Linked DNA regions of Schizosaccharomyces pombe. Changing the gene in region 1 together with any one later gene gives a genetic interaction. Each region holds a gene or a part of one and is shown in the gene's direction. Other genes may lie near its edges.

Region 1 (6,578 bases):
TTATCCATATTTTAGAATAATAAGAAAAAGGTAAAAAAAAGAGAATAAAGCCTTAAAATAAAATTAAATATAAGTTGGATAGTTAAATCAAATATTCCCGAAATTTATGATCTAAGAATATAAAATGACTTGTTTTAGGTGGTGGGGAAGTGCAAGTGTGAGTAAAGGATTAAAGAAATAAATCTATGTGTCTCTAAAATCTCAAAATATTAATATCAAAATTCCCTTCAATGCGAAAAAATTAACACTTTATACGCTACTATGCTTCAACTGGTTTAAATACAAAATAAATAAACCAAGAATATACTAGTAAACGTTTCGTTTCGTTACGTTATGTCTCGTTTTCGTTTCGCTATTTCGTAAAAGTTATGAGTGTAGCGGAAAAAGGGAGCTTGAAGACGATTTAATAATGCTGGCCTTGTCTCTCTATATATACTATATAACCACCAATTTGCATGACGAAGTGCCCCGCACGTAACGGAAGTGATATTATGCTGAAACAGTGAATAAACACATCTAGATAACCGTAGAACCGTTTTTCATACCCTTCAACTAATTACGAAATGTTGCCGATATGAACAATTAAATTAAATATCAGCTTGCCTTGCCGAAGATGACCTCAATCCATTTTCCTAGTCAAAGAAAAATTTCGCTGACCTTTTGTAGATCATATGCTAGAAAAGTAGTAAAATCGCAGCGTAAACTTGAGTCACCTTTATGTAGCAAAAGATTGCCTTAAAAGGGCAAACTCTACCAATGCCCAAAGAAGCAATGGGACAGGACGATGGCTATTTATTGAAATTGTTAAATCGTTACGAACTGCCATAAGAACCTTAATTAAAAGAAGGTTGTCGAAAAGTGCTCCGGTCTGCACATGTGGAACCAGTCATCTTAGTTAGTGCAGCCCCGGTATTCCACGGTGAAAAGCAAGTTTGCAGTGTAGAAGACAAATGGACCATTTGTTCATCAGTATATACAGTTAGTTAAAAGGATACGAAAGGCTGGATCATTTAGTGAACGAAGTCGCAAGTGAAATACTTGTTCATTATTATGTTCTGGTAAAAAAACCAACTTTTATTACTACAGCAGGAAAACAAACAAAAGTAACATATTGTTGGCAGAAAACACACAACCGAAAAAAACCTGTCTACTAGGAAATGGATCATTTTGATACTTCTGATCCGTTAGATACATTGCAGAACAAAAGATCGACCGAAAGGTTATCAATGACAAAATCTCTCTGGACCCTTTTGTTCTCATCTCTATTCTGTCCAAACCATCATCATCTAGTTCAATTCTTCTTGGACTCTGGTTTGGATGGAATAGTCAAACATTTAATGCCGTACTCTTCCGTAATCATGGCAATGACATGTGCAACAAAGTTGCCGTAAACACCAATGCAAATTCCAACGTAGCAAAAAAAGTATTCCGTCTGAACGTTTTTTAATACGCCAAAAGTATAGGCGTCCACGGCATCCACCAAGAATGGAAGAATAAGCACATTCCAGTATGGGAAGGGAGATTCGGTAATGTGAGAAACAATTACCACTCCAACCGAATAAGCAAAGATAAAAGCGTTCAAGCAAAAAATAGTGAGGAAATGATGTTCAAAGAAAGCAGGATACTTGGCATAGAGTGAAAAGACAGCCATCCATTGGAGGAAATAGGGAAGGATACCACTCAATGCTTTAATCACACTTCCGTTGTTCTTTTGGACGGCTTGAAGAGCATTTCGTAAACTTTGTAAGACATTCAATAGCAGGGCAAATGCCATAAAGTTGTACAAGCATGATCCATATGTGTAGTATGGCAGAAAGGAACGTACAAATCCCCATGACTCGGGAGTGGGATGTAGCTTGAGCCAGAAAGAATCACCCTTAATAGCTGTAAGGGCAAATAGTCCAATAACCATTACAATTCCTTCGACAGGACCCGAGAAGTATGAAAGGTACAAAGTACCCGTATGGTATTCTTCCCAAGTAGAGATGTAAAAGTATAATAAGCTGGCAAATTGAGTAAGGATTGAGCTAAACATATCTAGTTGCAGCAGTTCAATCGTCAGTAAAACTTCAAAGCTCGTATTGATGGCGTCTACTCCATGGTCAAATAATTGACCTAATGGAGATGATGTGCCAGTACGACGCGCTTGCGAGCCATCAATAGCGTCAAAACTTTGGTAAAGAAAAAGGCCAATCGCCCAAGAAGCATACACCCATGATGGGAAAGCATCCATCTCATAATGATACTTGTACACAAGCATAGTAAGGATATTGATAACAACGAATCCAAGCCCGATCAAAGTAATCAAATTAGGTCTAAGTAAAGAGTTAGTAAGAATAAGCAAGCAAACGGGTGTAGATCATACGCCATAGACATGGGAATCACCTTCAAAAGTTGATTCCACCAGTACGGCTTCAAAATATATTTTGAAAGAAGTGAGTTATCAATCGCACTATATTTATAGTTATGAAGATTCTTTAACTGCTTCCGGTTTAACTGCATCTTGAGAAACTACCTGGATATCCTTTCCTTATTCTCCGATAAAGTACTGGTAGAGGGTAAACATGTTACGCGTCTTAGTGTGTAGAAATAAAGGCAAAGCAACGAATGCAGATAAACCTTCTACCGATAAATAAATGTATAATGTAGCTTGCAAAAAAACTTGCACTATAACTATCTTTTAAATTCTAAATTGTAAGGATAATTGTTGCTATCAACCGTTTTGATGTTATTTGTCCATCCGCAGTGGATTACGGATGCCCTAGGCAACAACTGTTTAGAGCAGCAAGGTCGCCCTAAACTTTTATAAACTTCTATTGAATTTCAATAGTCCTTTCTTTTCGCTTGTCCATCGCTTCATCTGCCTTGTGCGACAAGTGTCCTTCCACCACTACCTTTTTCTGCATAAGTCTCACATATGAGTTCTTTAATGGAATTCCAAGACAGAAATACGACAAATAATGAAACAGAACACCAAAAAAGCATCACTGATCAAAGTTCATCGGTCCCTGCAGGGGTAATTTTACCTCCTCCAGCAATTCGAGGTGAGTCATAGTAATTAGTACAATAGACGCGCCTGCTAACGTAGCTTAGAAATAATTGATAAATCTGCTAGTTACGTTGCCAGAAATGGCCCAGCTTTTGAAGAAAAAATTCGCCAGAATGAACAGGCAAATACTAAGTTTGCTTTCTTGCATGCTAATGACCCCTACCACCCATATTATCAGCACAAATTAACTGAAGCGAGGGAGGGAAAATTGAAGAGTCATGCCACAGGCTTGTCAACCCAAAAAACATCCACTTTGGCTCGTCCCATTCAAAAACCTATAGAGGCAACTATTCCTGCTCCCTCACCGTACTTGTTTTCAGAACCACTTCCTTCTATTTCATCACTAGATTTGTAAGTATCATCTCAACTATTATTTCCTTCTTCTTTGAAGTTGCTAATTAACCGTGAATCTAGAGACGTGCTCCGTTTAACTGCGCGATATGCGGCAGTTCGTGGTTCTTCTTTCTTAGTGAGTCTTTCTCAAAAAGAGTGGAATAACACTCAATTTGATTTTTTAAAGCCAAATAATGCATTGTACCCTTACTTTATGCGTATAGTTCAACAATATACTTCTCTAATTAGAGAGCCCATTTCTTCGCCAGAACAGGAGCTTCGTGAAAATGTGAGAGACCCTTATAGCTTACTTTCTAAAATTCAGCCGCGTGTAAGGTGGCAATCGCATATGGAGAGCCAAAAGAAAAAACAAAAGGAAGAAGCCGAAAAAGAGAAGTGTAAGTGTATATTGAGATGCAAAAACTGGTTCAGGAAGTCCAATATTCTTCATTTACCATTTGAATTGGAACTAACTTGTCTTAGTGGAATATGCACAAATTGATTGGAACGATTTTGTCGTTGTTGAAGTGATTCAATTCACAAAGTCCGATGAACATGCAAAATTAGCTAAACCTACGAATTTAGCGGATTTACAAACTGCTACTTTAGAACAAAAGTCTGCCATGTTTACCATGCCTGACCAAAATTACACTATTGAGGAAGCTCCTCCTACAGCGGAGCCTTGGGAGCCCATAAGTGCGCCTAAAAAACAAGAATTTGGTGTTTCTCTTCCTCCATCACTTGCTTCTCCAGAAAAAGGAGGTATTTCTTCAACTACTTCAGTTTCTCCTGCCGCACAAGCTTCTCCCGTTTTGTCTACCACTACTCAGCCGAAGGTACAAAAGCCAGTACCAAAGGGTAAGTTTATATTCCTTATTGTAACTTTACTGACCCTGTTTAGCTTTCCAGCCCAAAGTTCCGATGGAGATATCGCCTTTCTCAGGTGAATTGGTTCCCGCTACAGAACTAGAAGAGCATATGCGTCTAAAATTACTTGACCCTCGCTGGCAGGAACAGCGCAAAGTTGAAGAATCTAGGAAATCAACTTTAAATTTAGAGAACGTGAACGTTGCTGCAAATATGAAAAGATTGGTTAGTCAACGGACTGATTTGTTTGACGTCCAAAACGGGGTAGAAATCTCTCAAGAGGAAATCGAACGAAGAAAACGTGCTGCTACTCAGAGCGCTTGGGGAGCAACTCCCACAAATAAACGCCGGTAGATTTCATAGAACTTTTTTTAATTTTGTTAATTTTTACTTTATTTTATTTAAGCTTCGTAGGACGCCGAAATCTATTAGTTAATTTGCTTCTACAACTCGTGAAATAAATAAGATGTAAATAAACCAGGTGTTGTAGACTTTCTCCAACTAATTGAGAATACAAATATTCTTTATTATAAAAAGTCCAATACACTAAACAAAGCTGGATTTTAACTTAGGAAATGCGGGTCTGGTTTTCATACCCGCCCACCGTCATCCTTAAGTTGTCATACCACGTAACCGCACAAACCTCTTAATTTTTTACTTCTTACATTGTTGATTCTTCATTTATCGGCTTTAATAAATGCTACATACTATCAATTATAGATCTTGGCATTTGGCTGCCAGGCAGTTAGGGCGTTCAACGTTTCGAAAGTTTACGACCGAATCGTCTACTAAAAGCCCTATTGCAGATGTTTGTTTCGCATTTGAGTAATACAGTAATTAATGATCGATTTTTGAAACTAACCAAAGCAGTATTGATGGAGTTTTAATTAGAGGAGGAAGAGGTTTGAAAGAAGGAACGAAGACGTAAGCTTAACTATGAACTACCATTTTCAAACTAACTTGTAAGTTTGAAATTTTTGCAAAAAAATAATATACCTTTTATTCTGTTAACGAATGGAGGTGGTATGCATGAGAGTGTTAGAGCTCAGCGTCTTTCCAAGACATTGAGCGTAAGTTTAACAGAGGATGATTTTTGTCAATCACATACCCCCTTTCGCGCTCTTGCGGATAAGTATAAGCACGTCTTGGTTCTTGGAGGAAAAGACAACAGCGTCCGTGAAACTGCTGAAAAGTATGGGTTTAAAAGTGTTATCAATGAACTCGATGTCATCGCAAAGTTAGGAACTCCATTTTGGCCTTTCACATCTTTTAACGAAGAAGATATTAAAGATGCAAAAGACTTTGACGTTACTAGACCCATTGAAGCAGTTTTCACTTATGTCGATCCTGTCCGACTTGGTTTGGATCTTCAATTGGTGATGGAATTGGGCCAGTCGAAGAATGGTGTTTTAGGAACAGTTTCGAAGACAGCAAATGAAGGTCCCGATATTTACTTTTCTAAGTAAGTTATTTCTTGGAAAGTATCTTTTGTGTAAAAATATTTTTGCAAGCTGTACTCGAATACTATGAGTGAATGCTAACAGCTTTTATAGTGCGGATTTAATTTGGCCTAATGAGTATCCTCTTCCCCGCTTAGGTCAAGGAGCTTTTGCAATTTGCTGTGAAAGTGTTTTTAAAGAACTTACTGGAAAGGACTTAAGAAATACGAAATATGGAAAACCTCATAAGCTGACTTATGATTATGCTAAAAACATTTTAATGAAGAAGCATAAAACTTTAGGAATCACCAATCCTCCCAAGGAAATTTTCATGGTTGGTGATAACCCCGAAAGTGATATTCGTGGTGCGAATAATTACGGTTGGACTAGTATTTTAGTACGTACTGGTATCTTCCAAGGAGACAATAGCCCTAAATATTCTGCGAAGCACGTTTCTGATAATGTATGGGAAGGTGTGCGCTGGGCTCTATCCAAACACGTTCCTGCTGCCAAATTGAACAAGTCAATGGGCGAGGTTCGTGGATTTCACACCTCTTCTCGTGTTTTAAACACTGTGACAAAAAGTAATAACAGTAAGCCTATTCAAAGGCCTTTGCGTGAGAATATTTTTACCTTGCCAAACTTGCTGACATTCTCAAGGCTCCTTTCAGCTCCATTAATTGCTTATCTTTACATTTATGATTATACTAAAGCTGCTGCTTGCTTTTTTTTATATGCTGGATTTACGGATTTGGTTGATGGGTATATAGCTCGAAAGTTTGATTTAGGCAGCATTGCTGGGACAGTACTTGATCCGTTAGCCGATAAAACGTTAATGACTTGTTTGACAATATGTTTAGCGGTGCGTGAGACTATGCCATGTATGCTTT
Region 2 (5,320 bases), 2.1 Mb from region 1:
AACACAGATCCTTTTCACTTAAATCTCGGTGAATGAGGATTTCAAATTATATCCTCTAATTTTTGTTTTAATTGTTTGTCAAAAAAAACGAAGGACTCATTCACTGAAAGGTGAAAATATAGAAGCAGAATGGATGCTTATTCCTTTACCGAAATAGAATATTACAGTGTTGTAAAATTTTCTAATCATATTTATTAAGGTTTTCGTTTTTATCGCATTGGAAAATCGATTTTCTTTTTTTTTGTTTTACAATTTCCATCTCGACTTAGTATACCATTCGTTACCTCTAAGTTGATTGTTACTTGAGAACACTTGCTCGTGTTTTTACAATTCTGCTATACGCCAACAACAGTAAGACACTAACATTCCTCACAAAATGTCTTCTTATCGGGGATCAACTCGACCCAGAAAGAGGACGAGAGAGGGAGAGAATTATGGATTTCGTCCCCATAGAGGAAACTCTCAAGAGCTACTTGCAGCGCGTATAAAAAAGGATATTACCTTTTTGGCGGATCCTCGAGGAAATTCAGTAGCTGCTGATGACATTAATTATGTTGCTATGTCTCTTAGTCGTGAAGCTAATGATCCTGAAACCATTTCAACTATCTTAGATTGCATTCAGACAACGTAAGTGATAATTTATACTGTCCCTTCAGAAAACTAATTTAATCCTTAGTGCATTTATCATTCCAGTCAAAATACCTCATTTGGCTACATTAATTATAAGAGCCTCATTAAGGGTTCCTTTAATCTTAGAAAAAGCAGCTGCGTATTTTTGTTTACAGTATTTTACGAATTTAAACTCCTTTCTTTATTACGAGGCTAAAGTCGATCTACGAATGCTCATTTGCATGTCATTTGCACTTCAACCAGGTACCCTTAAGCCACTATTTTCATTACTGGCTGACGCTATCTCAAAAGAAACCAAACCCAGTGTCTGGGGAGATAATTTCCTGCGCATAATTTTGATAAACCTTCCATATTTCATCGCAGCTAACAACGATCTCGGTAAAAAGGATTTTGCTAATGAGATACTGGATCAATGTGAGATTTACGTTCGTCATAGGAAATCTTCGATAACTCTAAGTAATCCCCTTTCAATACATGACAATCTTTCAGAGGAGGAATTGGACTTACTCTATAAACAACTAATTCTATCTCGGGAAAACGACTTTACTTTTCCTTATATATCTCAACCCTGGAAGTTTTTTGAATCTGATTTCGTTCATATTGTTCCGGTTAGCCCAAGTATTCCTGAATGGACGTTTCAGCCCACTCCTCAGCAAAATGAGCTACCTTCCTTCAAGAGATTTTTTGAGCTTTTTAATAACTTTGAAATTCGCACGACTCCTGACGCTTCCGACGTTGCAGCCAGCATATTTCGTGATATAAGTGTGGATGTTATAAACCATTTGGAATTTAACCGAGTTGAGGCTGCTCAAGTTCTTACAGATTTAGATGTTTATTTTACCTACAAAACTTTTGCTCTTCGTGGTACTCCAGTAAATGAATTACCAAATTTAGATCCATCGGAATCACGTTGGAAAGCAGAAGATATCATAGTTGAAGCTGTTTTGGGTGAGCTTCTTGGTTCACAGAATACTACGTATAAACCTGTCTATTATCATTCGCTTTTGATTGAATGCTGCCGTATCGCTCCTAAAATTTTGGCTCCAACTTTTGGAAGGGTCATTCGGCTAATGTATACCATGTCTTCTGATTTACCTTTACAAACACTTGATCGATTTATTGACTGGTTTTCACATCACCTTAGTAATTTCAACTTTCACTGGAAGTGGAATGAGTGGATTCCTGACGTTGAGCTGGACGATCTTCATCCAAAAAAAGTTTTTATGCGGGAAACTATTACTAGGGAACTTATTTTAAGCTATTACACAAGAATTTCTGACTCACTCCCTGAAGAGTTACGTTGTTTGCTTGGCGAACAACCGTCGGGTCCCAATTTCGTGTACGAAAATGAGACTCATCCGCTATATCAACAGTCAAGTCAAATTATCGAAGCATTGAGATTACATAAACCGTTAGAAGAACTTGACATTATTTTGCAGAGCGAGGAGATTCAAAACTCCGAGACATCTGCTGTCCGATTAGTTATGTCTTGTGCTTATAGCTTGGGTTCGAGATCGTTTTCGCACGCATTGAACGTGTTCGAGAAACATCTTAATACATTGAAACATTTTTCTCGAAAATCATTAGATTCCGAAATAGAGGTTGTTGATGAACTTTTTTCATTTTGGAAATTACAACCGTTCAACGCAGTTATGTGGCTAGATAAAATGCTGAACTACTCTATAATTAGTATTACCTCTATTATTGAGTGGTTGATCAAGCAAGACGTGACTATATGGTCTCGTAGTTATACGTGGTCACTTGTTAACACCACTTTTAATAAATTAGCAGCTAGATTGCGGCGTTCGGTTTCTAACAAAGAAGACTCTTCGCTAATCAATGAAGCGAATGAGGAAAAGGAAATTGTCACGAATTTACTATTGTCAGCTTTGCGCGCCCTTATTTCCGAAAATGCTGAAAATATATGGGTATCTCATTGGCTTAACCTTATGTTAAAATATGTGGAATCAAATTTCCTCTCTGTTAAAAAGGACACGATAGAAGAAGCAAACGAGCCTGTTCAAGAAAATACCAGTGAGGAACAGGAAGACACAAAAATGCAACCCGTCGACGCAGTAGATGAGCAGCCATCAGAAAATAATCAAACAGCAGCTGATGCAACTAATGAGGAAAAATAAAGAAAGTAGTCTATAACAAAAATGAAGAAAGTGTTGTTTTGATATCAAAAAGATTAAACTGAAGAACTCGACTGGTAATCACGACGTTGTCAATCTGCTACAACGTTTGAACGTGGATATAGCTTATATTAAATATTTAATTATAACGTCCCATTTTCATAAGCACTTGTAGGACGCTGCTGCACTTCACAGTTAAGTTACTAGAAACGAAGATTTCAATTTTATAGGTAACAGGGTTATCAGATCTATCAGAGGTAACGGATATCTAAAGATAAGATATTTTACGATCGACTTGTCGGTTCTAGTTTTGCGTAGTGTCATACTATGTGAGCGAATGGATAAGCGAAATGTTCACTCACATCTCCGATATCAGAAGTGACTAAATCTTTTCTCAGTTTAACGAAAGGATTGCTAAAATGTAACAAAATCACTACTGCCATCAGTAACTTACACTTAACCAACCACTTTGTGCTATTGTAAGAAGTAGTGAGGAACAGAGGCAGTTTGGTGGATAGAACTAGGATTTAAGGGACATTTGCACAGCTACTCCTTCTCAACTTAGCTTCGTCGAATATTTCATTTACTTTAAAGGATAAAAAAACTGACACAATATGTTGGAAGTACGTGCTGCCGTAAAGGCACCTTTCAAGTTGGCTGCCGCAGGCCGTGGTTTCATGAATATGCGTATGGCTTCAAGCAAATCTTTTCAAAAGATCACTGTTAAAAACCCAGTCGTTGAAATGGATGGTGATGAGATGACGAGAGTGATTTGGAAGATCATTCGTGAAAAGTTGGTTCTCCCATATATGGACATTAAATTGGATTATTATGACCTTGGAATCGAAGCTCGCGATAAGACAAACGACCAAATTACTGTGGATGCAGCCAAAGCTATCCTCAAAAATGATGTCGGTATCAAATGTGCCACCATTACTCCTGATGAGGCTCGTGTGAAAGAGTATAACCTCAAGAAGATGTGGAAGTCTCCCAATGGTACCATTCGTAACATTTTGAATGGTACAGTATTTCGGGAGCCCATTTTAATCAAAAACATTCCCAAGTATATTCCTGGATGGACGAACCCTATTTGTATCGGGCGTCATGCCTTTGGAGATCAATACAAGTCAACGGACTTGGTAGCTTCAGGCCCCGGTAAGTTGGAACTTTCATTCACCCCTAAAGGTAATCCTTCTGCTAAAGAAACATACAATGTTTACGAGTTCAACGGTAGTGGTGTAGCTATGTCTATGTACAACACTGACGACTCTATTCGTGGATTTGCTCACAGTTCTTTCCAAATGGCTTTGCAAAAGAAAATGCCACTTTATCTTTCCACTAAGAATACAATTTTGAAAAAATATGATGGTAGATTTAAGGATACATTCCAAGAAGTATATGAATCTGATTACAAGCAAAAGTTTGAGGAACTAGGTTTATGGTATCAACATCGTCTAATTGATGACATGGTAGCCCAAGCTATTAAGTCCAATGGTGGTTTTGTTTGGGCATGCAAAAATTACGATGGTGATGTTATGTCGGATGTGGTTGCCCAAGCTTATGGATCCTTAGGCCTAATGACTTCTGTCCTCATTCATCCCAACGGTCGCACTTTTGAGAGTGAGGCTGCTCATGGTACTGTACAGCGTCACTACATGCAATACTTGAAAGGTAAGAAGACTTCAACCAACAGTATTGCCTCTATCTTTGCCTGGACTCGTGGTCTTGCCCATCGTGGTCGTTTAGATGGCAACGAACGTTTAGTTAAGTTTGCCAACGCCCTCGAGCATGCTTGTGTTCGATGCGTTGAGAAGGGTATTATGACAAAGGATCTTTACCTTCTCAGCAAGTCTCCCAATGGTTATGTTGATACATTCGAGTTTTTGGATGCCGTCAAGTCCGAGCTCGATTCGGAATTGGTCAACATTGCCTAATTTTAGTGTTAGACCTGTTGATTAGTGAGTCTTTGAAGTTTAAGTTCTGGATTATTCAATCATGTTTTTACTAGGATACTTTTTGTTAAAACAATTATTTTGAAGTGTGTGCATTTATATTATTTTACAATTAACAGTGGAGTGTAGGAAGTCATTTCTATTAATCATGAAATTTTGTAAATTTTTTATGCATATTCAGACCATGACACTATTATCTAATTTTTTTCAATTTTTTCCCCTTAAACGTAAAGGAAAAAGCTGAATGATTATTCATTTATTCATTGAAATCTTTCGGATTTCTTGCCGTTTATTGACTACAAATGTATCTTGATTCTTTAAAGCTTTGCTTCAAACCCACTTAAACATATTTATCTAGCAATTGATTGAGCCATAACAATTTAGGTAAAGGTCTAATATTAAAATTCAACAACTGAGCTAATAAACTAAACAATTGATGGACGTAAACCCCAACTACATTAAATGTATATCACTATGGAAATGCTTTCTATTATGTTCGAATACAATGAAGTTGTAACAAATATCATTTTAAAAACTGCTACTACTTAATTACTTGTAATTTCTGTTAAACTGATAAATAAAGTAAGCCTTTGTTCTTAGCTC
Region 3 (4,703 bases), 1.8 Mb from region 1:
TGGGTAATGAGGAAGCAGATACATCCATAAACCGAATAGTCTCAATAACATTTTATGAGATATTGTCAACTTTTTGAAGCCACTGTTATTTTTAGTGAAAGAAATTGTGATAGAAACGAGAAACCTTTGATTTGGAAAACTGATTCGCAAATCAATGAAAGATCAGAAATGTCAGCTATCGTATTTTATACAAATTTTGTGCTATAGCTAGTAAACCACTTAATGTCCAATAATTCCATCTTGACCCTTTTTTTTTTTAATCTAGAGCTTGATGCGCAAATATGCAAATTATTGTTCTTGCATCTCCGATGGAGATGCATATTTATTATACTGACTAAGCATCTCAGTTTCATAATTTTAGAGTTAAAAAACGCTTCCTGTAATTTGTTAAGATCATTAAAATTGTATATACAAAACTTAGTGTCTCATCAAATTGCTTTGAATTGAAAACATTGTGGCAGATAATAAAACAAAGATTTATCTTGTGCTTTCAATATTCAAGCGATTCCCCATAGTTGATACCTTACCACCAATTTAAAAAGCGTCGATCCGGAATTGGTGTTTTGTGAAGTATCAAATTTTTTGCCCATCTATTCGGAACGCTAACCGGCGTAGACTAGGTCTACATTGCACGGGGAACAGGCTAAACGGAATAATGAAATTTCAACTGGGCTGAACGGAATCAAAGAATTCATCACATGTTGGTAAAGTAAAAATTTAGGACTATATCAGGTGTTTCTCGGTTATGCTATACGTTTTTTCAATAAACGTTTTGTGATGTTCTAATAACAATTAGCTGCACTTAATCACAGTTTGAAGTCCCAAACTTTGATGCTTAGAAGTAACTGCGCATCCTTAGTTATCCGATGAACTAAAAATGAGCAACCATTGTTAATTTTCGCCTTATCTAGATGATTTAGAAAATTTTAAGGACGCAATATAGTCAAAAAAGAAATCTAAAAATAACCAGAAAGAATTAAGTTCTTAGTATGTGCTAAAATTTCTAGCTTTTGCATTATCGCAATATCATCCTTGTTTCTTCTCTGCGATGAAAATTTTAAGCGAATTTCACGGCCAACTTTCAATGGGTATTGAATCTTCACATTCGACTTGAGATAAAATCAAAGAGTGCTTTCAAATAGATTGCAGGTTTGCCTCTCTCAAATTCAATGTGGTTATTTCTACTCTTGTAAATTGGTAGTTATTGGAATCCAACTAGCTCCTTCGGATGCGCAAAATCTATTATGCTGTTGAATTGAAATACTATTCTAGCTGTATAAAAATCCAAAGTGAATCGCTTTCAAGAGAAAGTGAGGAATCCTTTGTAGAGTAATGAATAAGAAGAAGGAAATTTTACCCTCGGTCGATACAAAATTTCTGATGTGCTAGTATAAGTTATGTATTGTTTTCACATCCTAAAATGTAAACAAGGGTTTCCACCTTTTAAAAATCATTACTAAAAATTAAAAAAATAAAATAAAAATAAATTGATAAATTCGTAACCAAAAAATTAGACAAGCAGAAAGAAGTTGAGTGTTTTTCAACACTGTTCTTCCATATGAAACGTCTTTGATTAGATATATAATTTCAATTCTAATTTACATTGCGAACTTATTTACTCACAGTGAAGTATTTCAATCTCTTATTTATTATGCTCAAAAAAATATTTTTTTCTATTTAGTGAATTTCTTTCGCACTCACTATTTTTTTGCATTTATATGAATTTGGCGATTGTAATAATTAGCAATATCTTTTTCTTTTTCTTTTTTATGCTTTTTAAAAACCAATGCAAGAGTTAGCTGTACTCCTACATGAATGCATCTACCTATGTTGAATTCAATTTGTCTTAAAAGGAAACGTAAAGCATCTCGGAAAACCCAATTACTGCATTGCATCGCTTATAACTGGAAATCTATTTATCATATAATAGAGTGCTTTCCCTTGATAAATATTAACGAAGTAATGTTCTGGTGAACACTATAACTTTTTTATAGCCTAATTCTGAATGTGTTTATAATTTACAATATTCACTTAATGTTAATGGTTTTCATATACTACTTGCATTGTAATTTTTACTATAAAAATTGTTAATTGGTTCATCGGCAGCTATTTTTTGAAAAAATGTCGATTGTGCCAGCCCACTTTTAGTACCGTATGATGCGCTACTTCTGCCGAAGTTTCGATCCTTGGAAAAGACCTAAGAAAAAAATAATAAAATAAATAAAAAAAAAGGCAGAAAACCCAAATAACATGTTCATATATATATATAAGAAAAAATAAATAAAAATAAGAAAAAAATATTAAAGCACAATTCGATCAACGATATATGATAAATGTAATAGATTAGAATAAAAGAAAATACCAATTCTTCACTTTCTTTAACCGCGGCAAAATGAAGGTTAAGGCCGATGTAAAGCTGTTTTGACATTGATGATGACCTAAATATTCTAATTCGTTCAAAAGAACTTTATGCCATACAATTTTGACAAAGTTCTATAACATAACAATTGCAGGAATCATTGCCGCATGCCCCTAACATACTCCCTGTGTTTTCACAAATCAAAATATGTCAGTTGATGATGCTTTGCAAACACAATAAATATGTACCATTTTCCCTGAGAAAGTACCTAGACAATATACTTAGAGGAATGATGTGAATATCCCAACCACCTTTACAGGTAGTATTTTGTAGCGGATTTCGGATGTTAGTCGTAATGGTCAAATGTCTAACCATCTTGTCACTTTTCGTATGATAATTTTTGATAAGATAAAATAGGCAGGTTGTATGATTCGAAAAATCAAATAGTCACGGTCTTAGGGGTACCTGATCTGACGGTTAGACATGAGAGCCCTGGTCTAGAAATGCAAGAGCAGGTTAATATGATCTTATTTGAAAGAATATTGGATCGTTTTATGGGAACGTTAGAAGGTTTTAGTGTCTTTTCATTCGCACACTGGTGGCCCACCATGTGATCACGTCTACATTTCTGCCTTGCAGTATTGCTACGTTTGTGAAAGTCTTACTTCTGTGATGTATAAAAAGTCATGGGCAAGGCGACTCTGTCAGGATCGACTGTTGCTATAAGTCTGTTTTGTCGTGGTATTCAGAAATAGAAACATATCTCTCTGCAACTTTAAAGTAACCCTTGAACTTATTCTTTTCTTAGAAATTTACTCTCTCCGAGTCTATTAGTATTGTGTTTTTCTCGTTTAAAATGCTTACTCAAAGTTTGTTTTTGACAGTATTGACATTAGCTTTGTCTCTGGTCTCCAAAACAAGCGCAAGCCAGTGTTCACCCAGATATGGGACTTGCGGAGGTATTTACTATGATGGCCCCACGTGTTGTGTAGTAGGTAGTTCTTGTATCTATTCAAATCCCTGGTATTCGCAATGTATCCCAGTTGATTATACAGGACCCTGTGCAAAGTTATATCAACAGTGCGGCGGCATCAATTACAATGGCCCAACTTGCTGTGAGCCAGGATCCGAATGTATTTACAATGGTCCATATTATTCTCAATGTATTCCAGTTGATATCGATCCTTCTTCATCTAGCTCTAGTGCTGCTTCTTCCACCACATCGACTACATCCAGCTCCAGCCTTGTGTCGTCTACTACTTTGACTTCATCCAGCCCTAGCGCTGTATCCTCCACTACCTCAATCCCTTCTATTTCTAGCACTATTTCTTCCAGTGTGTCGACAAGCAGTTTCACTAGTCTCTCTAGCAGCGGTTTTTCCACTGTACTATCTAGTACCAATACAACTTCTGCTTTGCCATCATCTGGCTGGAATGTTACCGGCTATTAATTTGACAGCCATAGAATAACTGTAAACGATTCAACATACCAATCGTTTGGAGCTATTTTATTGAATTTTACGATGTGTATTATGTTTCGCGTTTGATGGATATGAATAAATTAACTTTATTTTATTTTATTTTTTTTTTGGCTTTAGGAAAATGGATATTAGAAAAAGAAGACAACTGTAATTACTATTGTCAATATCAATTGAAATTTCAATATTTGTTATTCTCATTGATTTTTAAATTCGGTTGGGAAAGGCATTATCCTTGACTAAGTTCAATGCGGATAGATTATGCTTGCCTTAGTAGAAGATATTAATAAAACGTTTTAAGTATAATCAATTTCGTAAAGATTAAGCACATTCAATACTTCGTCAATAATAAATACTAAGAAGAAAATTTAAGGAATAATGATATATGTATTGTTGGATTTGACAGTTAGCTAGTATTTAATACACTGATTAACCAAAAACTAAACATCACTTCTTATTCCAATAAAAAGCTGATTCATGGCTTTCTCATTATATGTACATCTACGTTCCAAAATGGTTTCGGGTCATTCAATCAATATCTGAATCTCTAAAAGAAGTGATCACCTTTATGTTTTTCGCAAAATTTCTCTCCAAATGCAAATTCAGAAGTGGCATCTGTTAGACTCTTCATCATATCCATCATGTGTAAATTACCATGATGGTGTGCCTGCTTCACCTCAGAGGTAGTAACATTCTTCGAAGGGGGTACGTCAAGAGCTGGGTTGCGAAGGAAGAAATTACGAGGACGTAATAAAAGACGAATGGGTTCTGCAGGCATCAATGGGAAATCTTCAGGAGCAGGGAAGTGAGTAATTCCAAAAGTGTGCCAAACAACGATATCCGTGTTATCAACCGAAGCGTCTGGCT

The links. A genetic interaction does not mean that the proteins touch.
Region 2: mutations in sap114 (region 1) and idp1 together harm fitness more than expected from each alone (negative genetic interaction), as found in Schizosaccharomyces pombe (one large-scale study listed by BioGRID).
Region 3: mutations in sap114 (region 1) and cbm1 together harm fitness more than expected from each alone (negative genetic interaction), as found in Schizosaccharomyces pombe (one large-scale study listed by BioGRID).

The regions. Positions count from the first base shown.
Region 1 is NC_003424.3:1,170,495-1,177,072, reverse strand, and holds sap114 (U2 snRNP-associated protein Sap114), read left to right. Parts: upstream 1-2,624; 5' UTR 2,625-2,917; coding exon 2,918-3,044; intron 3,045-3,093; coding exon 3,094-3,400; intron 3,401-3,463; coding exon 3,464-3,780; intron 3,781-3,865; coding exon 3,866-4,240; intron 4,241-4,283; coding exon 4,284-4,603; 3' UTR 4,604-4,722; downstream 4,723-6,578. Other genes in the region: dihydroxyacetone kinase Dak1, read right to left, coding at 1-8; ept1 (CDP-alcohol phosphatidyltransferase class-I family protein), read right to left, coding at 1,292-2,315, 2,366-2,502; cardiolipin synthase/ hydrolase fusion protein Crd1, read left to right, coding at 4,947-5,074, 5,117-5,173, 5,217-5,711, 5,803-6,569. UniProt on the Schizosaccharomyces pombe protein: Involved in pre-mRNA splicing. May be involved in endoplasmic reticulum-associated protein degradation (ERAD) and required for growth at low and high temperatures.
Region 2 is NC_003424.3:3,228,157-3,233,476, forward strand, and holds idp1 (isocitrate dehydrogenase Idp1), read left to right. Parts: upstream 1-3,223; 5' UTR 3,224-3,379; coding exon 3,380-4,699; 3' UTR 4,700-4,820; downstream 4,821-5,320. Other genes in the region: tda3 (FAD-dependent amino acid oxidase), read left to right, coding at 1-36; cbc1 (nuclear cap-binding complex large subunit), read left to right, coding at 377-627, 677-2,768.
Region 3 is NC_003424.3:2,934,616-2,939,318, reverse strand, and holds cbm1 (cellulose-binding domain-containing protein), read left to right. Parts: upstream 1-3,065; 5' UTR 3,066-3,215; coding exon 3,216-3,809; 3' UTR 3,810-4,203; downstream 4,204-4,703. Other genes in the region: Cu(2+) amine oxidase Cao1, read right to left, coding at 4,384-4,703.